Arabidopsis thaliana: one gene and its partners. The protein of the gene in region 1 interacts with the protein of each later gene in a pairwise test. Each region holds a gene or a part of one and is shown in the gene's direction. Other genes may lie near its edges. The genes, in order: AT5G42220, SESA1, AT5G11700 and AT3G26700.

Region 1 (7,657 bases):
ATGGATTTCGTAGTGAAAGATAATATACAGGTTTTAATTGCATTGGTCGAATCCTTGATGTTTTTTTTTAACCCATATTGTGTACGGGTTTATGATATCTAAAGTCAGCAAGACACCAATAGCTTGTATAGGTTAGTCAATAACTCCTAGGGGAAACACCATATTTAATGGCCGTTTCAGTTAATTTAGATATCTTCTTTCTTTTTTTGAGTTCAAAGTTAGTTTAGTTGTCTAAAGCAACAAAATAGCTCCAATATTTGTATCATTAAATTTATTTATATACATCATAATTATTTTTGTATATATAGACATAATTGAAACATGTTTTATTATAATCTATATATACATTTTTGCAGCCATTTTGTGAAATAAATCCTTTAGTTGTGACTTATTTACAATGGCTGCCACTGGATTTTAATGTTTGTTTTTGATAATTAAAAAGAAAATATTCGAATTAAATATTTGACATTTAACAATCTTCCCAAAATATCTCCACATTAACTACACGATTATTTACTAAAATAATACTTCCAAAATATTTAATATCATTTAATTACTACAAAATTATCATTTTTGATATTGATTTTCTCCATAACTATAACAATTCGATTATAATCATCAAAGCGCAGAGATATAATCTGATAGCATTTAATTACTACAAAATTACAAAATATTTAGACAATGATTCATAAACATATCATAAATAAGATCAACATTAATAAAATAAATAGTTTTTTTTTTACAGGACGGGTTTGACAGGACGATACTTAATAACATTTGTAAACTATAAAATAAAATTATTTTATAGATAGATACAATTTGTAAACTTTTATATATACTAACTTTAAAAAATAAATTGTTCCCGCGGTATACCACAGGTTAAAATCTAGTTGTTTTTGTATTTTAACTAATAATGTGGACTAAACTTTAGGTGGAATACCTTTAGTTAACGGATCCGCTTTCATGAAATTTCTACCTATATGCTTAACTGAAACCACATCATCTTGAATCCTTTCTCACACAATATGACACTCTATGTCTATATGCTTTGATTGTTCTACTTTTGTTGTTGTTTGCATATACACTGCCGCAAAATTGTCAGACTAAACTTTAAATGATCTTTCGACACATAACCAACATGTAGTGTTTTTCACAGACTGTTCAAACCTAATGAATATAGTGTTTTCCCTAACCTAATGGCCGGTGTATTCTACAATTTTGAAAGATTTGCCTGAGTGACAATAAAAAAATCTCAAGCTTGTTTCTATCTCTAATCTCTTATACTGCAAATGTTAGAACGAATACTTTGGCACGAAAAATTCGTACTGAATCGCTTCATATATGTAAACAATTTTTTCTAAAGTTGACTCATTTGAACATTAATATAATTTGATGACAAAAAATAATAAAATAATAACCATTATTAACGACAACAATAACATAGATTCGTTTCAGTTATATGTAAACCATAATCTTCATGATTAATCCAGTTATGTGTAAACTTAAATACTTAAATATTAGAAATCAAAATTACATAATAAAACAGAAAAAGAAGCACATGTTTAAAATTTATTTTAGATATGGTTAAAAAGGCCAGGCCCAGCTTTATATTATTAATAGAAGAGTCCACATTTAGAGCGGAGACTAGGCCTATATTCGCGGAAGCGTCAATTCAGGTTTTCAAAACGTCGTCGTTGTATCTTCCTCCTCTAGATTCTTCTTTTTCTTTTCAATTTCACCAAAATCCCGAGTTCCCGACACAATCGCCCTTGTTCTTCCCCTTTAACTCTGAACACATCAGGTTTGGTTTCGTGTTTCAACTTTGAGATACTTCTCTAGATTTCAATCGGAGAGTCTTTTGTTCCGCCAAAGTTTCAATTTTTCAATACCCCACGACGGCAAATAGGTTCGTTCTTCGTTGCCTTCATGGAATTTGATTGTTTTTTTCTTAAATCTTGATCCTTTTTTTCCGTATCTATAGGCTCTGTTTTTGCCTTAGCAGATTTGTTTTTGGGTTTGGACGGTGAAAGTTTTGATTTTTGAACAGTGATATTACAATGACTTGCATTTATTTGGGTCTGGGTCTTTTGTTTGTGGCTTTGGATGGTGAAAGTTTTTGATTTTTAGCATTTTTATTACAATGACTTGCATATATATAGGATTTGGTCTTTTGTTACAATGACTAGCATTTAGTTATGTCATTTGTTTGTGTCTCATTGTTGATTCTGTTTTGTATGATCAATATCTGGAAATGTGTGTGGTAAAGGTTTTGATTTGAGTACCCTAGAGATAATATTGTTTATTATGAGATCATTCTTTTGTAAGATGAATTTACAAGCTTTATGTTTTTTAAATTTTAATACTTTAGGGTTCATGGAAGATCAACCCATTAACCAGTGCTCTAGTAGCACCAATGCGTCGGAGAAAACTCCAGAATCAACCCTTGAGCTTAACATCAAAACGTTAGACTCGCGGACGTATACTTTCCAAGTGAACAAGAATGTAAGAAATCTTCTTCTTCTTCTGCTTCACCTGCATATTTGCTTAAGTTTAGTTTGCTTATATCTGATACTGCTTAGGGCTTGACTTGTTGCAGGAAACTGTTTTGCTATTCAAGGAGAAGATTGCTAGTGAGACAGGGGTGCCGGTTGGTCAGCAGCGGCTCATTTTCCGAGGACGGGTTTTGAAAGATGATCATCCTCTCTCGGAGTATCGTATCCTAGTGCTAGCGACTTTGTTAACTTGTTGATTTTATGTTATAGTGTAGCTGTTTGTTGCATTATGCCATGTGCCCTGTGTATAAAATGCATGTTAACCAAATCTGTCGGAAGTCTAGTTTTTGATTGATCAAGTGCATCTCTGCTTTTGTGAGTCTTACACCGTAGAGGAAGCTGTAATCCAGAAAGAGAACTATATATATATATATACCTTCGATAAGCTTAGTTTTAGTTTATGTCTGTCGTTTCCTTCCATCGCTTTTCTACTTTCAGTATAGTTGATAACTTGACATCGTCATAGATTTGGAAAATGGGCATACTTTACACTTGATTGTGAGGCAGCCAGCAGAATCAGCTCCTTCCTCTGGTACACCTTCACAAGGGGCAACTGCAAATGATGGTAATCAAGTTATTTTTTATCCCCTTTCTGAGTTTTAAAAGAGCTGTTAACACAACCATCATCTTATTTCAACTTGTTATTTAATTCAACAGGAAATAATACAAATGGTGGACCATCTCGAAATGGAAGACATGTCTCCCACAGCGTAGTTCTTGGGTCTTTTAATGTTGGAGATCAGACAGAAGGCATTGTTCCAGACCTCAGCCGGGTAATCCCCAAGGATTTGTGATATTGTTTGGCCTATGGGATGGTTTGATTAGTTAGGCTAACCTGCTTTTAATTTTGTGTTGCTAACTACTAAGGTCATTGGAGCAGTTCTAAATTCTTTTGGAGTTAGTGGACAGCTTCCTACAAATCACAGTACTAATGGCACGCAATCCTCTATGCCCGTGAGTTTTTTTCTCGTCACTCTCTATTTCGAATTTATTCCATATTAGTGCTTAGTCTACATTAAGGATTGTTGAGAATCAGGTGTTGTTACTATTTGATGTGTAAGGTTTCATATTGTCATCAACTATTGCCTGTTTCTAAACTCGATGTTGCATGCGCTTTTATTTTTCCTAGTCGAATCAGTCGTCTAATGCACCTCCTGGAAATACATCTGATGGAGAGCCTGGCATTGGTGGTCAAAGCCAAGCTACGGGTCATTCACAACCTAGGCAAGCATTTCCTGGTGTATCATTTCAAACATCGATGCCTCGTGTAGTTCAGATTCCTGTTACAGCAGCCACAACGATTCCTATCCCTTCATTCTTAACGGTAGTTCTTAGTCACGTAGTAGTATTTTGATCTTGAGACTAGAGCTTTAATCTTGTCATTTTACAATGTAACTCTCTAATTCTGCAGCCTATTCCGGATTCCTTAGACACTCTAATGGAGTTCATTAATCGGATGGAGCAGGCATTATCACAAAATGGTATTGTGATCTAAGTTTTATTGTCATATTGGATAGAGAACACATAAATAAGTTAATTGGATGTTCCTCCAGGCTATCAGCCAGATACCTCTTCTGCTGGATCCGGAGGGCGACCAAGGGAAGAGTTGCCTAGAAATAGACGAGGTGCAGCAACACCTGAAGCACTCTCTGTTGTCCTAAGGAATGCACAACATTTACTGAGTGGTCTCGGTGTCTCTTCTTTATCGGTAAACACCTTCTTCACACTGCTTATTAATTGATTCCATTCTTTCTCTTTACAAGAACTGTTATGTATATGGTTACCATGCATTGTCATCTAATTATGTGCTGTTTGTAATTTGCAAAAACATTGTTGTAGCATATTGCGGGACGTCTGGAGCAAGATGGTTCATCTTCAGATCCTACTCTAAGGTCACAAATCCAGACAGAGGCCGTGCAAGTAGGTCTTGCCATGCAACATTTAGGGGCCCTCCTACTGGAGCTTGGACGCACAATTTTGACATTGAGAATGGCACCGTCGCCGGTGCGTTTTGGGTCATTCCTTTCGTGCATTTTCCTATTCATTCTTGACATGCGGCTCATTAACACTTTGATCTACAGGAATTATCCTATGTGAATGCAGGGCCTGCTGTGTATATATCTCCATCAGGACCGAATCCTATTATGGTTCAGGTAAGCTTCTAGTCTCATCTTTTTTCTAAATTAATTTTCTACTTTTATGTAATTATTACTGTATTTTGCAGCCTTTTCCTCACCAAATCAGCCCTCTCTTTACTGGTGCTACTGTCTCATCAAATCCACTAACCGGACCTGTTGGTTTAGGAACTGCCCAAAGGCACATTAATATTCACATACATGCTGGTGGGTGAAGTTCACTTTTTTGCTATTGGACTTAGCTGCACAATTCTTCTCCATTAAAATTCATACTTAATTACCAGGCACATCAGGTTCACCTATGTTGTCATCAGTTGGGAACCAGCGAAGCAATGGAGAAGGAGGACAAGGAGACCGTGACAGCAATACAAGTTCAGTTCCTGCGGCTGTTCCATCACACTCTACCGGTGAGAACGTTTCTGCTGGGGTTCAACCTGGTTTGGGTGATGATGTTTCAGTTGCTCAAATCAATGCAAGGATAAGAGATATGGTAAACATTATGCAAGGAAGAGACCAGATTCCATCGGGTAGGTTTCCTGCTGACTAAAGTTTTACATTGTGGACGAAATGTTTTCAAGCTCTTCTTCACGTGTCAATCAGGAATAGAATCTCTCGAGAGGGATATGTCTACGGGCCATGGTGTTGCCACTGCTATGCCTGAGCAGCCTACCAACATTGCAACTACTTGCGCACCTGAGTCGTCTAGTGGCTCACTGCATGACTTACCATCTGAGAGGAGCAACTCAGTGGTATGTCTTCTCTGCAATCAGATGATTCTTTATTTTATGTTCACCAGGGTTAGCCTACCACTAATTTTTGTTTTTTCAACCAGTGTCAAAATGAAAAAGATCTTGGTGGAGATTTAGAGCATCCAGCCCGAGCAAAAGATACCTCTTGTACTACAGGACAATCATCAGCTCCGTCTGGAGATGCTACCGGTGATGCCAAAGAAACCAATAAGGCTACTCCAGAGGTAGCTACAGCTACACCACTTGGATTGGGGCTTGGCGGTTTAGACCGTAAGGTAATGAATCAGTTGAAAAATAAGCGTCAAGTTGCTGCTGCTTGTTTTTCATTGCATAGCATATCCACAAGTGTCATAGTTCCAAATGCTTACAGTCATAGTATGTTTTTTTTGGTTAAAGAAACGAAGCAAGCAGCCGAAGGTATCAGGTAAGACTGAAGATAGCGGGACTTCAGCTACACTTGAAGGTGTGCAACAAAGCAGTGGGACCAGTGGTCAGCAGCTTTTGCAATCTCTCTTTTCTGGTAGTTCTCGTTCAGATGAGACTGGTCTTAGACGCGGGCAAGGTTCAGATGATCGTGTAGATGTCTCAAGTGCAATGTCTCAGGTCCTGGAGAGCCCTGTATTGGATGGATTGCTAGCAGGGGTATCTCGACAAGCTGGTGTTGATTCACCAAATATGCTGAGAAATATGCTCCAGCAGTTTACCCAGAATCCACAGATCATGAACACAGTCCAACAGATTGCGCAACAGGTGGATGGGCAAGAGATAGAAAATATGATGTCAGGTGGAGCTCAAGGCGAGGGCGGCGGCTTTGATTTCTCTAGAATGGTCCAACAAATGATGCCTCTAGTCTCACGTGCTTTTAGCCAAGGAGGGCCATTGCCTCATCCCGCAACAATACAGCCTGATGATCGTCAACCTTCTCAGGTACATCTACGAGTGTTAGGTTTGGATTTCTTGCGTTTTTGATTTAGGAAAAAAATGTGGCTGAAGAAAAACTGATACTATTATCGACTGAGTAGGATTTTGTTGTTGTCTTTTTTTAGTTGTAGAAAAAGTAACACCATTCTTACCTAGGTATTACAATAAACGTCATTGTCTCTTGTTCTATCTCGTGTAATGAATGTTATTTTTCTACTTTTTCCAAATAGGTAAATGTTCAATCCATGGCTCAAATGATTGAGCACTCTGATCCACCAGAGGATGTCTTCCGTGCAATGGTCGAAAATGCTGCGATAAGCCAAGACGAACTAGTGAACGAGCTTTGCTGTGATGAAGCTCTTTCTCAAGTAAGCATCAAAACTGACTAGTTTGTTTGTTTAATAAAAATAAAGACTCCTTGATCAGACTTGTATTTGAGTGTTGCAGGAATATGCGGAGTTGCTAAGACGTGATATCGAAGGCCGGCTAAAAGATGATCAAGGTCTATAAGATATTTGGTTGAATTGGTTCTGTAAGTGTCATATCTTTGAAGTATCTTTGTTTATTTGCTGAGATCCCTCACTTATGTATTAAGAATTAGGGTTTGGGATGGTCTATACTCTGCTAAACATAAGCAAACGTAATTTATCTGGTCTCTAAAGGGCCGATTCAATTTGATATTTCCATCTTTAACCAGAGATTACTCATAACTCTCGACATTGACCAAATTACTTGGGAAAAAGGTGTCCCTTTATAACTGACAATTTTGGTTTTGATCGAAAATTTGGCTAAAGGGCTACACTAACGAGTGACTGTAGCAAATTATATATTTAGTTTAATTCCTTAACAAATAGGTAATAAAGATTGCACAATAAATATGGAATGTAAACTAATAAATAGTAGAATAATTCAGAAAAATGAACTGTCACGACAACCCCAATAATAAGATGTTATATATTATTTAATTTTTATAAAAAATTATATATTATAAAATTTACTATGAATTTTTAATATGTTTAAAATTACAAAGTTGTTGTGTTTGTTTTGTTGTACAAATTTATAATTTTGGATTATGACAAATTAATAATATTGTTTTATTTTATATTTAATTTCTAAAAGATTATTAAAATTTGTTTTATGGTTTTACGTATTCAAGGGTTGTGAACAATTGATCACCACCGGAAAAATTAAGGATGACGACAAAATTGAACTAAAACATCATGGGTTCAGAGATTTTCAAGATCAGCGAGCCATGACTTAGCGACATCGGAGATCATGAACATTCCTAAGACAAGCTGTC
Region 2 (3,217 bases), on another chromosome or scaffold:
CAAACCACAAGCTGAAGAATCCAAGACTTGAGAAACAAATTTACAAAAGCCCATGTTCCAATCAAAACTGTTACCAAACATCTGAAATAGATCTAAATGAGCGTTGGTATAATTGAAACTTACCGAAGGCAGTAGGGACCTGGGAATCAAGTTCAGACATGAAACTTTGTTGATCTGAGGGGCAAACGATAGAGAAGCTGAGACCTGAACATGAAGGCCATCGGAGGATAAGAATTTGGCACACTCATAAACAAATAATAAACAAGTGCTACACCACAATCGAGAAAAGCAAAATAAGTATTAATAAGGTCTTAGAAAACAGTTAAAGAACACAGGGAACGCATAATACACATAGCAAGATAAAACACACAATCCAAATACAAGCCATGTTCATCTAGAGATTAGTGATATATAAACCAGATGGGGAAACTAAAACCTCAGCTAAGAAACCAACTCCAGAATTATCATTTGCAACATAAGATTCGAAATGAGCAAGATGCCATCTTCATAAATAAATTGTATGTTCTGTATCCTAGTCCCAGGAACCTAGTTAAGCAGGTCCAGCTCAATTACAGGATATGATCTAAACAAATTACATCAATCCACAGCAGATCAAAGGAAGATCCAATTTTCTAAAGTCAGCAGCAAATTCGACAGATCCTAAACAAAAGCTAGCGTACAATCTTCAGGGACATACGAAAGACGATATACCAATCTGACGAACGAAAACAAATCAACAAACTCCAAAATTATATGGATCGGGCAATGAAAACAAACTTCACCTCGAAATTACCGAAATCAAAGAAATAGCAAAACGCAATTTGTGAAATCTGCTTAAGAAGATGACAAACGCAATCAGAAGAAGATAAGATTTTACCTGATCCGAAAAGTAGAGTTTCGTGGATCTGATAATTGGAGAAGAGAGAACGAGCTGAAACCCTAAATTCGGATAAAGTCTGCAACTTCTGTTGTTTCGGTGGCGAGAACAAAAATAATGAGAGGAAGAGGAAAATATCGTCGTTTTTGTCTCACAGTCTCTTTAGCAGCTTTTCTTTAGATATTTATTTTATTTTTTCCATGGATAGAGAGAGCTAGGCATTCCGGTTATTTGGAGATTTTGGAATTTCAATTTTGCGGTTTGGTATTTTATTTTATTTTATCAATTTGAACGAAACAGAGCTTTGTTTTGGTTACGATGCGGTGGATTTTGGTTCGGTTTAGAGTGATATATATTTGGTACCAAATTAAACCAAGATTCGTTTTCGGTAAAAACAAAATTTGATTTTTAAGCATTTTTGGAAAAATTAGTGTTATATATATGAGATTTCTTAATCAAAATCTCACTTTTATCCGATTTAGTGGTAGTTCATAAAGTGGTTTCATGTATATGATACCTGAATAACCAACATATGTATTTTAAGAGACACTTGGAATAATAATTCTAAATATCCTAACTACTCGTGTCCGTATGTTTTGTCACGGTGAAACGTGAGAGGACTAGTTTTTGTCACCCGTCCATAACATTCTTAGACATACATTACTTTGGGAGTGAAAAACATTAAGCTTATCTTTATCCATATATTGTCTTACCATCAATAGACAATATCCAATGGACCGGTGACCTGCGTGTATAAGTAATTTTTCAAGATGCTAAAACTTTTATGTATTTCAGAATTAACCTCCAAAAACATTTATTGACACACTACTACTCTTTCCGTATTGACTCTCAACTAGTCATTTCAAAATAATTGACATGTCAGAACATGAGTTACACATGGTTGCATATTGCAAGTAGACGCGGAAACTTGTCACTTCCTTTACATTTGAGTTTCCAACACCTAATCACGACAACAATCATATAGCTCTCGCATACAAACAAACATATGCATGTATTCTTACACGTGAACTCCATGCAAGTCTCTTTTCTCACCTATAAATACCAACCACACCTTCACCACATTCTTCACTCGAACCAAAACATACACACATAGCAAAAAATGGCAAACAAGTTGTTCCTCGTCTGCGCAGCTCTCGCTCTCTGCTTCCTCCTCACCAACGCTTCCATCTACCGCACCGTCGTTGAGTTCGAAGAAGATGACGCCACTAACCCCATAGGCCCAAAAATGAGGAAATGCCGCAAGGAGTTTCAGAAAGAACAACACCTAAGAGCTTGCCAGCAATTGATGCTCCAGCAAGCAAGGCAAGGCCGTAGCGATGAGTTTGATTTCGAAGACGACATGGAGAACCCACAGGGACAACAGCAGGAACAACAGCTATTCCAGCAGTGCTGCAACGAGCTTCGCCAGGAAGAGCCAGATTGTGTTTGCCCCACCTTGAAACAAGCTGCCAAGGCCGTTAGACTCCAGGGACAGCACCAACCAATGCAAGTCAGGAAAATTTACCAGACAGCCAAGCACTTGCCCAACGTTTGCGACATCCCGCAAGTTGATGTTTGTCCCTTCAACATCCCTTCATTCCCTTCTTTCTACTAAATCTCAAACAAACCCTCAAAGCGTATGAGAGTGTGGTTGTTGATATATACATGTTGACACTTGACACATACCACACCTCATCGTGTGTTTTATGATAAATGTAAGCTTTTGGATGTTTGAGGGTAATGTAAGCACTACTTAATAAATAAGAGTTTTGTTTATATTTTTTTTGTTTGTTACATTGCTGCTCTCTAAAAAGTCATGACGCTTACATAAAAATAACTTTACTCCAGTGAACTGGAAAAATTATAGAGTACCGCTCCACCTCCACGGAAAGATCATAGACTAGTACTACCCAGAGATATAAATCGTAATTAAGACTTCAAATGCGTAGAGACAAATGGAATTATGACTTGGCAATTTGATCTTTCTTGATATTTTTAACAAATGGTTTACGTATGTCTTTATCAAACAAAAAAAAGTAATAAATGTGTTTAATTATTGAGTTGTGGCTAATAGCACAATTTTAAAAAACTGATGTCCAATTTTTTCTTTTAAAAAAAGCTATAACGAAGCATGTAAAAATGAACACTTAAAAAATAAAAGTTTCATTTACGAATCATGTACAATTGTGGATTTGAGATTAAGAATCCATCTGAGAATAGTATACCATTTGTGATTTGTTTATGAATGGTATGACACCATAAACGACTATACTACAGTTTGAGATTCACTGATCACTCATAGATTTTTGAATAATTCATTTGAAAATGATTTGAGATTTT
Region 3 (4,787 bases), about 13 Mb from region 1:
TATGGATACGAATCAAATAAATTCACCTTTTGCTCCATCTCAGGGACCTTCAAAACTTTCAGATTCACCTCCCTTTTTCTGTAATTGAAAACGAATCGAGATCAATCGAAAAAATATATAAAACCAAAGATCTACGGATTTGGATCGATAGAGAAAACGGAAAACCCACATCTCTCGAACAGTTTGATCGAAGACCTTCATGAAATCCATTTGGAATCCGCGAAAATGTTATGAACAAAGGAACGAAAACTGGCAAAATTTTGGTGCGAGGAGAAGTGTAGATCTAATCAGAGATGGCTCGTCTTTGTATTATGAGTTTTTTTTTTTTCAATGAAAGGCAACAACAAATAAAAAGTTAGCAGCTAGAACCGATTTTCTCGCGTAATTAGTTTTTAAAGGCGTCAAATGACTGTAAATTCGACCTGACCGTAGCCTGATCCGCAGTCTCCGATAGTCACGGCTATTGGTGGGTTGTTCAATAACCTACATGTATACAACAAAAAAAAATTGAATCCATTTCGTTTCAGTAAATAACACAACGAGTTTTAAGACCTAAGGTAAATTCTTCGAAATATTATCCAAATATAATTTATCCGAACCACTTCACGAAATAATTTAGTTGAATACTTTAAAGCACTTCAACGAAATGGCTCCGAATGGATTATATATATAATTTTTCCAGTAATGAATGTTGTTAGTGAAGATCATATTACTCTCTTCTATACCTTACTTTGTAAACGTTTTAAGTTTAATGCAATAAAATCCTTTTCTGGGGGAAAAAATATAATCCAGTTGAATATTGTTGGTCAGATAAGATTAAGTTTATAACATTATATACCCATTTTTCTATATTAAATATATCTACTACAATTGTCTTATTGAAGAAGTCAGCATGATGAGTCATATACGAGTCAAATTGCATTTGTTTTTAACTCTGGTACCAACCAATAAACCACGTAATATCAGATTATACATCACGTATCCCACTAGTTTAAATTAGTTTTTGCTGACCATGCACAATCTCTTACTTTGAACATAGAGTGTCCCCAATACATGTAGTCTAATCACTAAAATCTAATTTTGGATTTCATATGCTTTGAAGCTATAAAGTTGTTTAGAAATTAGCATACACAACAGTACCTTATCATTTTGGGTGAACCATACATTGACATTAGAAAAAAAATACCATTTTGCATTTAGAACGTGAAAATCGAAGTGATTGAAAGATTGGTGTGATGGATTAAAATGTTGGTGTTGATAATGCTGCTAGTTTTCTATTGGGCCAGCCAGATTTGTTTAATTTTTGTTTTTACTTCGTCCAGGTCACACGCATTCTGTTTCTCAATATCAAACAAAAAACACTCACGCTCAAATCTTGGCGCGTCCATATCAAACTCCTTCACAAACAGGGCCCATCAAAGCCCAATTCTTAACACCTTTCAATGTCCGAACGTAACTCCTGACGTTTTAAAAATTTTAAAAACCAAGTCATTAACCCCTTAATATCCAACAGCAAAGCGAGTAATTAAACGTAGTTAGACACGTGTCCTAATTTAATTCGATGTCAAAATAAATTAGGATACCGCTGCCACATCCAGTTCCATGTGAACCACGATGCACAGTAGTATTTCCTTTTAGAGCAATCTAAAGAATGACGTGGCGTAGTATGATTTGTTAAGATTTACCTGATTACGGTGAACTTGCACGTACCAGATCGTAACTACTCTCCGTTCCAACCTGTGTTTTCTTTTCTTCTTGGAAGCTCCCTTCCCTCTCTTTCTCTCTCCTCCGAGAAAGGAAAAGCACCACTTCTCTCTCTAAGACCCCATTTTTCGGTGAAGGTTTATGCGCTTTTCTTCTTCAACGAGACGACTAAAATACGTATACATGCGTATGTTGATGTATGCATAAGTGTTGTTGTGTGTTGGAGATTTAGAAGAGAAGGTTTGTTTGTGAATTTGTGTCTCTGAGGTTGGTTTTTCCAGTTTATTCTTCTCAATGATCCGAATTGGGGTTGAATCGAAAACCTTAGTAGACTTCGTCTGTGATGACTCTTGATACTAGTGGATGGCTCGATTTCAATTTTGCTGCGTCTTCGTCTTGGTCGCTCTTGCGGTTTTGGCCGTAAACCCTAGTTCAAGCTATCGATTTACCATTGTGGAACCGAAATCGGGTTCTGATTCCGATTTGGACTCAGATTCAGAGTCGTTACTTTTCCATCAGGACTACTCTCCGCCTGCTCCGCCACCGCCACCACCGCATGGACCGTCGGTATCTTGTAGCGAGGATCTCGGCGGCGTTGGGTTTTTGGATACTACTTGTAAGATTGTCGCCGATTTGAACCTTACGCACGATGTGTATATAGCTGGGAAGGGGAATTTTATCATCCTGCCTGGTGTTAGGTTTCACTGCCCGATCCCTGGTTGTTCTATAGCTATCAATGTTTCTGGAAACTTCTCTTTGGGAGCGGAATCTACAATTGTCGCTGGGACATTGGAGCTTACAGCTGGTAATGCTAGCTTTGCTAATGGGTCGGCGGTGAACACGACGGGGTTAGCTGGGAGCCCTCCGCCACAGACCAGTGGGACACCGCAGGGGATTGATGGTGCTGGTGGTGGACATGGTGGTAGAGGCGCTTGTTGTTTGACTGACACTAAGAAGCTACCTGAAGATGTGTGGGGAGGTGATGCATACTCTTGGTCGACTCTGCAGAAGCCGTGGAGCTATGGTAGTAAAGGAGGGTCAACTAGTAGAGAGATTGATTATGGAGGAGGAGGAGGTGGGAAAGTGAAGATGGATATTCTGCAGCTTCTGGATGTTAACGGAAGCCTTTTGGCAAACGGAGGCTATGGAGGAGCCAAAGGCGGTGGTGGATCTGGTGGCAGCATCTACATCAAGGCATACAAGATGTAATCAACTTTCGTTTCTATGCTCTCTTTCACTAGCTGTTAATTAGATTAAATGCATATATTTTAAATTACTTATAGTCAGCAGGGAATGCAAAATTTACAGTACTTGCTTGGTCCTGATATTTTCTTAAGATCATAATCTTACCTTAGGACAAGTTGAGTTTCTAGAAATGATACAAAATTGCACTTTCGTTTCATAATAATATTCTAGAAATGTGAGTTTCTGTTCTCAATTGGAAGTATGTGATTAAGCATGAATCTTATTTATGACAATATATATTTCGAAAGAATTTAGATCTTGCTCATATCTCTCCAAAATGTGTTGTCTGCTGTTGTATGATACACATGAAACAACTCATTTTCTTTGCTTATTTTAAAAGGTTGGTAGTGAGCCTTTTGTCTTCTTAGATTCTTGGTAAATTGATTTTAGCTAGCATCCTCTGCTTTGCTGTTATTTGAAGTGCAGGACTGGAATTGGAAAGATCAGTGCATGTGGTGGGAGTGGTTATGGTGGTGGGGGTGGTGGAAGAGTATCTGTCGATATTTTTAGTAGGCATGATGACCCGAAGATTTTTGTGCATGGTTCGATTCTCTTTACTTGGTTATTTTGTTTACATTTGCTCATTTGATTCACGGTTTTTGTTTTGAGCCAGTATAACCAATACGTGCTTGCCTAACATTAACAATCATGTAAACTGATCTTATCTTCCTAAACACAGGCGGATACAGTATCGGATGTCCAGATAACTCGGGTGCTGCTGGAACTCTATATGATGCTGTTCCCCGAAGCCTTTTCGTTAGCAACTACAATCAGACAACAGACACGTATACGCTTCTCTTAGAATTTCCATTCCAGCCACTTTGGACCAATGTTTATATTCAGGATAAAGCACGCGCAACTTGTCCTCTGTTATGGAGTCGTGTCCAGGTATTTAGAAAATAAATATCCAGTACATGGGCTTTGTAGGCTTACTGATCTTTCTCCTTGCAGTGTTTATGTTAGCACTATTTGTGATCGTATTTACAAAGATTACTATCTTTTATTTTGTATATCTAGTGTCTGTTGTGTCGCCTCTATATATGTTTTCTTAAAAGGTATTTAGTGGAACTCTTGTTTTTCAGCATATTATCTTGCAAAATTGATGAATTGGAGTACTCAAACAGAACTCAATATGTAGGTTCAAGGACAAATTAGTTTGTTGTGCGGTGGTGTTTTGAGCTTCGGATTAGCTCATTATGGTACATCAGTATTTGAGTTGTTGGCAGAAGAACTCTTAATGAGTGATTCTACCATCAAGGTGAGTATTATCCTGATTCTCTACCTTTTTAGAAAATGGGGATGCAACAGCATTGTGTCTGTCTACGTCAGATATGAATATTTCTTTCTGTTGCTAAGATCTGCTTCACTCTTGGCTTACCTGGCCGTTCTTCACACTCCATGTACTGTTTTGGTATTCATGTTAATCACTTGTTCATCATGTTTATGTTTATTGGTATGCATCAGGTTTACGGGGCATTACGCATGACTGTCAAGATGTTCTTGATGTGGAACTCAGAATTGCATTTAGATGGAGGAGGAGGAGATACAACTGTTTCAACTTCCATGCTTGAGGCTAGCAATTTATTCGTTCTTAGGGTACTCACAAACTCATGTCATAGTTTTTCTCCTTAAAAGTAATTTGTGACATAGCGTCGCATCTAATTTTTGTGTGTGACCTCTCTATCCAAATATAGGGATCATCTGTCATTCGGTCAAATGCAAATCTTGGAGTCCATGGACAAGGTTTCTTGAATCTAACTGGACCAGGGGATTCAATTGAAGCACAACGGCTTGTTTTGTCACTGTTTTACCGGATTTATGTAAGGGGTTTCCTTTTG
Region 4 (5,284 bases), on another chromosome or scaffold:
TGTAAGTCATGTGACATCTACCTATAAGAATCAGAAACACTAGTATGAAACATAATTAAATATTCTATTTTGATTTATAACATTGTTAATTATAATTTTGTATTAAAATGGTGAATTATAAAATAAAAATTCTTTTACTAAACTTAGATTTTACTAAATTACAAATATATGATTAATAAATGGGAAAAATGTCATTTAATTCCCCAACTTTAAAAAAATGGTTATTTTATACATCAACTTCGTATGTGCCCGTTTAAAACATGAACTAAACGTTGACTAATTTTTAAAACATGATCTTTCGTTGACCAGGCCAGAATAGACATGCCGTTATCAGTCATTAACGGAACTTTTAACGTCTGTTATCATCCGTTAACTTTATTAGTCAAGTTTCAAATTGTGGTCATTTTAAACATCAACTTCTTATTTGGCCATTTAAAACATGAACTAAACGTTGACTACCATTTAAGACATGAAAAATTCGTTAACCAGGCCAAAATAGATATGTCTTTATCAGTAGAACCTAGAAATAATGACTGTTAATCTGTCCAAAACAACGTCGTTTGAGAATAATCGAAAGAACACAAAGATTTTTTCCATATAAAATCTCCATATCAAAAGTTTTAAGCAGAACCCAAGAACATAGTTTGATAAAGAGATAATCGCAGTGCCAGTAATTGGAAGCAAATAAAGGTGTTTTCGTTTATATATTTGTTTTAAATTTTAAAGGGAATCATGGAAGCAAATTGAAGACTCATTATAAGATTATTCGTCTTGTTTGAGCGGTTGTAGAAATAGATTTGGGGAACTGGGGTTTCATTTAGAATCTTTTGATTATTCTCAAAACAAAGTCGTTTTAGGGATACTAATAAAGTCGTTAACAAGTGATAATGAATTTTATAAGTTCTTTTAATGAATGATGACAACATGTTTATTTTGGCTTGGTCAACGAATTTCTCATGTTTTAAATGGTAGTCAACGCTTAGTTCATATTTAAAATAGTCACATATAAAGTCGGTGTTTAAAATGGCCACAATTTAAAACTTGACTAATAAAGTCGTTAACGGATGATAACGGATGTTAGAAGTTCCGTTAATGACTGATAACGGCATGTCTATTTTGGCCTGGTCAACGAATAATCATGTTTTAAAAGTTAGTCAACGTTTAGTTCATGTTTTAAACGGCCGCATACGAAGTTGATGTATAAAATAATCATTGTTTGAAAGTTGGGGGATTAATTGACATTTTTCCCATTAATAAATTGACTCTTAATGTTTAGATTAAGCTTAGAATTAACAAATCAACTGATAAGAGTTATAACAAGTTTAAGCTCTTCTTCTTCCTAAACTGAATATTATGCCAATATTTCAAATATTAGAAATAAAGGTTTTAAACTAAATGTAAATCTATGACATGACATAATCCTTTTATATTTTTGTAATAAACATAAGAATAATAGGATAGTGCAGAAAAAGCTGTGATTCCAATATAATTATGTGATTGATTGACTAAACAAAAATATGAAGTCTAAAGAATTATAAATTTCTGTAGTTATGAATCCCATCTATCATTGGTTGCTTATTAATTTATGAGAAAAATAAATTTTTATTGACAATCTTATTTGTTTTGTTTTTGGTAGTCTAATATTGAAGTACACATTTATTAAAGTAATAAAAATAAACCATTTTAAGGACACATACGAAAAAAGAAAAAAGAAAAAATAAACAGAGAGAATTGCGGAGTAAAATAAAAAGAAAAGAGAAGAAGGCAGAGACAGAGTGGTGGTCTTGTTCGTCTCCTTTCAAAACTTGCGGCGGCGGAAACTACGTTTCACGGCGGCGGTCTTAAGTTTCTTCCTTCTGAATCTTCTCTCTTAAAAAAAAAAAAAAAGTTCCCATTCGCTGTAATTGCAAACTGGCCAAGTACCCCACTTGCTTCTACTCTTGTCTTCAAAGGTTCTCTTTTTTTATTCCTTCCTTTTTTTTCACCAAATTAAACAAATGGGTTTGGTAGTTGCACAAGAGTAAAAACTAACCAAAGTAAAAAGTTTGATTCTTGTTGTTGTTGTTGCCGTTGTTGATTCTTAGTTAAGTAAGTAAAAAATTTTCGGTGAGTCTTAAGAAAGAGAGAGAGAGAGAGAGTTGTTGTCTGAAACGATGTCACTTTCTGTCGGCATTGTCTGCGTTCCGACACAAGACTTGATTTCTTCTTCTTGTTCTTCTTCTTACCCTTTTACCTTCAAGTTGTTCTAGAAGAAACTGCGGCGGTTTGATTTGATGTTTCCATTGCTCTCTGTTCCGTTTTCACACCAAGCTTTCTTGTTTCTGATTAGAAAAATAATTTGATTCCTTGAATCTGCCGATATAAGGAATTTTTTTCATTGAATGTGGAGAAAAAAAAGAATGTGGGGAATCACGTCATCGATTTTGTTGAATTTGTGTGATATTTAATCGCCGATGAAGTTGAGATTTTCTGGAGATCTGTCAAGGTTCTTTTAAAAAATACTTACTGCATGTTGATTGATTGATTTTTACAAAGTTGACACCTTTTCTTTTTTTACCTCTCAAGCTCCTCTGTTTGCTTTTAAAACTGTCTCTTCTGTTTTTTTTTTTTTCTTTTCGCCGACATTCTTGTTTTATTCTTTCTCTCCAGGGTTATCGCATGGTAGTAGAAGCTTGGAGCATCGGTGAGGAAAAGAGAAAGAGAGAGAGAAGGCAGTTTTGTTTTCCAAATGTCAGCAATTCTTGCAGCTGCCATTGGTGGTGCTGTAGGAGCTCTTGCATTGATTGCTTTGTTTGTTTTTCTCCTTTGGTTTTGTGTCTTTCGTCGTAAGAATCTGTCTAGAACTTCTGAGACTGGCTCTTCTGATCCATCTACTCAAGGTAAATCACAAATCCCATCAATTCTATTCCTCTCTCTCTCTCTCTATTGACTTTCTTGGATGATATCAAAATGATTTAGACTTTTTTTTCTTTTGTTATATGTTTGTGTGAGTTCAGAAGGAAGAAATGTTGCAATTGAGTTGTCAATGAGAGAAGCTAGAAGATTTGAAATGGAGGAACTTGCTCAAGCCACCAAGAGTTTTACCAATAAAAGTCTTATTGGTATTGGCAAATTCGGCGAGGTTTACAAAGGTTTGCTTCAAGATGGTGTTCTTGTAGCTATCAAGAAAAGACCTGGTTTGCCTACTCAAGAATTTGTTAACGAGGTTTCTATAATTAATCTTGTTCAAGTGTTTGCTTTTAGTCTTCTTAGACCAAGTGTATTGATTGAGAGGATATGGTTTATTTCTTCAGGTTCGTTATCTATCGTCTATCCATCACCGTAATCTCGTCACTCTTTTGGGGTTTTGCCAAGAAAGCAACACACAGTTTCTTGTCTACGAGTATGTTCCTAATGGAAGTGTTTCCAGTCACCTGTACGGTAACTCTCTGTCCTTAATGTTATTTTCATTTGGTATTTAATCAGTTTGAGAAATGAGTTTGGACGATGTAAGCATCGTTTAGGTCTTTTCCTCTGTTAGGTGCTGGTGGTAAAGTACCTGGTAATAGACTAGAGTTCAGACATAGGCTTGCAATATCTATAGGAGCAGCTAAAGGTAAATCCTCTACAAAATCCTCATTGAAGCCAGCTCTAGCTTGTGTCCTGATCTTGCATATACCCTTTTGTTATCTCTAGGCTTGGCACATCTTCACTCGTTGAGTCCTCGGTTGATACACAAGGACTTCAAAACCGCTAATGTTCTTGTGGATGAAAATTTCATTGCTAAGGTTGCGGATGCAGGAGTCCGTAACTTCTTAGGAAGAGAGGATGTTGGTACATCGTCTCACATTGTTGCAGACCAGATTTTCCTCTCCCCAGAGTAAATTAAAAAGATTTCACCTTCTAAGCTCTCATATGCTTCTTTTTAGTATCAAAGTTTCTCAGATTGTCCCCTTTTTTTTTCAGGGTTCAAGAGTTCAAAAGATTTTCAGAGAAAAGTGATGTCTATGCTTTTGGTGTATTCCTCTTGGAATTAGTAAGTGGAAGAGAAGCATCAGAACCATCCCCTTCAAGCTCAACGCAAACTCTAGTCGATTGGGTATGTAATCACACTCAAAACCGTGCCAATGTAATCTATTTTGATTCTCATTTTGTATGCATTGGGAGTTGCAGATGCAAAACTTAACGGATTACGCAGATATACCAATGATGATTGATGAGAGACTAGGAGGTACATACACAGCAGAAGGAGTTGAGGAACTTATTACATTGACACTAAGATGTGTTGATGTATCAAGTGAGAAGAGACCAACAATGAGTTTTGTTGTGACAGAGCTTGAAAGAATATTGGATAAAGAAGTGAGCTTAACAACAGTAATGGGTGAAGGTACTCCAACTGTTACTCTTGGAAGTCAGCTTTTTAAAGCAACCAAGTGATTATTATAAAGGAACCATCTTTTTACATATATATACATATATATATATATATTATATAAGTTCTCTGAGACAAGAACCAATCAGAGAACTTAAGGAGGAAGAAGAAGAAGACTGATCAGCTGTTTTGTGTTAAGTGTATAAAGAACAGCTGAAGCTTATTGTTTGTTTGTTTTTTCCCTCCTTTTTCACTTCCTTTGGAGGTTATTATTTTCAGCAATTATTTTTTTGACAATGAGTGCAGAAAAGTATAACTTTGTAAAAACATTATTTATTGATATAAAGGAAGCAAAGAGTGGAATGTTGTGTGATTCTTTGTTACATTTTACTCTCTACAAAAGCTTTGAACTTAGCTTGAAAGACTTTATTGCCAAGTTGGTTGGTTGAATAAGTTTTGATGAAAAGATTCCAATTGGCTAACTGTTGAACTAACAGAAGGTGATAACTCCCTGTCTGAAGAACTCTAATTATTATGTTTGTACAGAAAAACTCAGAGCTACTTTTTCCTATAAAGTAGCCAATTTTGGGAAAGATTTTGACCTTTAGCTTCAACCTACCTATGCTTTGATAGCCTTTATTGCCAAAGGGGAGATATAGTAACCAAGTTGGTCTCTAAAGTCTTGATCAAAGATTCCAATTGGATAACAACACTCTTGGTCTTGGACTAGTATAGTTCCTACATACTCCATTTGCTACTAGTGAAAATAAACTCAATGCTCTGATTTATTACTCTGTCCCTAGTTTTGCTAAAAAACCTTTGTGGGCACACAGAACTATAAACAAACAGTCTTTGGAACAGATTGCAAAATCAAAATCATGTTTGGTCTGATTTTATGTCGGGAGAGATTGAAGATCTAATGATAAAGACTCT

The links.
Region 2: the proteins of AT5G42220 (region 1) and SESA1 interact in a two-hybrid assay, tested with the Arabidopsis thaliana proteins (one large-scale study listed by BioGRID).
Region 3: the proteins of AT5G42220 (region 1) and AT5G11700 interact in a two-hybrid assay, tested with the Arabidopsis thaliana proteins (one large-scale study listed by BioGRID).
Region 4: the proteins of AT5G42220 (region 1) and AT3G26700 interact in a two-hybrid assay, tested with the Arabidopsis thaliana proteins (one large-scale study listed by BioGRID).

What each region holds. Positions count from the first base shown.
Region 1 is NC_003076.8:16,870,589-16,878,245, forward strand, and holds the start of AT5G42220 (Ubiquitin-like superfamily protein), read left to right. Parts: upstream 1-1,649; 5' UTR 1,650-1,906; intron 1,907-2,368; 5' UTR 2,369-2,373; coding exon 2,374-2,502; intron 2,503-2,596; coding exon 2,597-2,714; intron 2,715-3,018; coding exon 3,019-3,117; intron 3,118-3,209; coding exon 3,210-3,325; intron 3,326-3,419; coding exon 3,420-3,506; intron 3,507-3,681; coding exon 3,682-3,876; intron 3,877-3,963; coding exon 3,964-4,033; intron 4,034-4,105; coding exon 4,106-4,260; intron 4,261-4,391; coding exon 4,392-4,556; intron 4,557-4,633; coding exon 4,634-4,705; intron 4,706-4,776; coding exon 4,777-4,894; intron 4,895-4,971; coding exon 4,972-5,214; intron 5,215-5,287; coding exon 5,288-5,436; intron 5,437-5,519; coding exon 5,520-5,711; intron 5,712-5,832; coding exon 5,833-6,363; intron 6,364-6,587; coding exon 6,588-6,725; intron 6,726-6,804; coding exon 6,805-6,867; 3' UTR 6,868-6,889; exon of another isoform or gene 6,890-7,144; intron 7,145-7,513; and 1 more.
Region 2 is NC_003075.7:13,605,366-13,608,582, forward strand, and holds SESA1 (seed storage albumin 1), read left to right. Parts: upstream 1-1,963; 5' UTR 1,964-1,997; coding exon 1,998-2,492; 3' UTR 2,493-2,666; downstream 2,667-3,217. Other genes in the region: AT4G27130 (Translation initiation factor SUI1 family protein), read right to left, coding at 124-160. UniProt on the Arabidopsis thaliana protein: This is a 2S seed storage protein.
Region 3 is NC_003076.8:3,768,404-3,773,190, reverse strand, and holds the start of AT5G11700 (ephrin type-B receptor), read left to right. Parts: upstream 1-1,741; 5' UTR 1,742-2,067; coding exon 2,068-2,909; intron 2,910-3,375; coding exon 3,376-3,491; intron 3,492-3,628; coding exon 3,629-3,837; intron 3,838-4,087; coding exon 4,088-4,207; intron 4,208-4,413; coding exon 4,414-4,545; intron 4,546-4,643; coding exon 4,644-4,769; intron 4,770-4,787. Other genes in the region: AT5G11710 (ENTH/VHS family protein), read right to left, coding at 27-78, 170-210.
Region 4 is NC_003074.8:9,807,941-9,813,224, forward strand, and holds AT3G26700 (Protein kinase superfamily protein), read left to right. Parts: upstream 1-1,641; 5' UTR 1,642-2,485; exon of another isoform or gene 2,486-2,649; 5' UTR 2,650-2,728; coding exon 2,729-2,879; intron 2,880-2,996; coding exon 2,997-3,205; intron 3,206-3,293; coding exon 3,294-3,420; intron 3,421-3,520; coding exon 3,521-3,595; intron 3,596-3,675; coding exon 3,676-3,859; intron 3,860-3,945; coding exon 3,946-4,078; coding exon of another isoform or gene 4,079-4,152; coding exon 4,153-4,416; 3' UTR 4,417-4,734; downstream 4,735-5,284.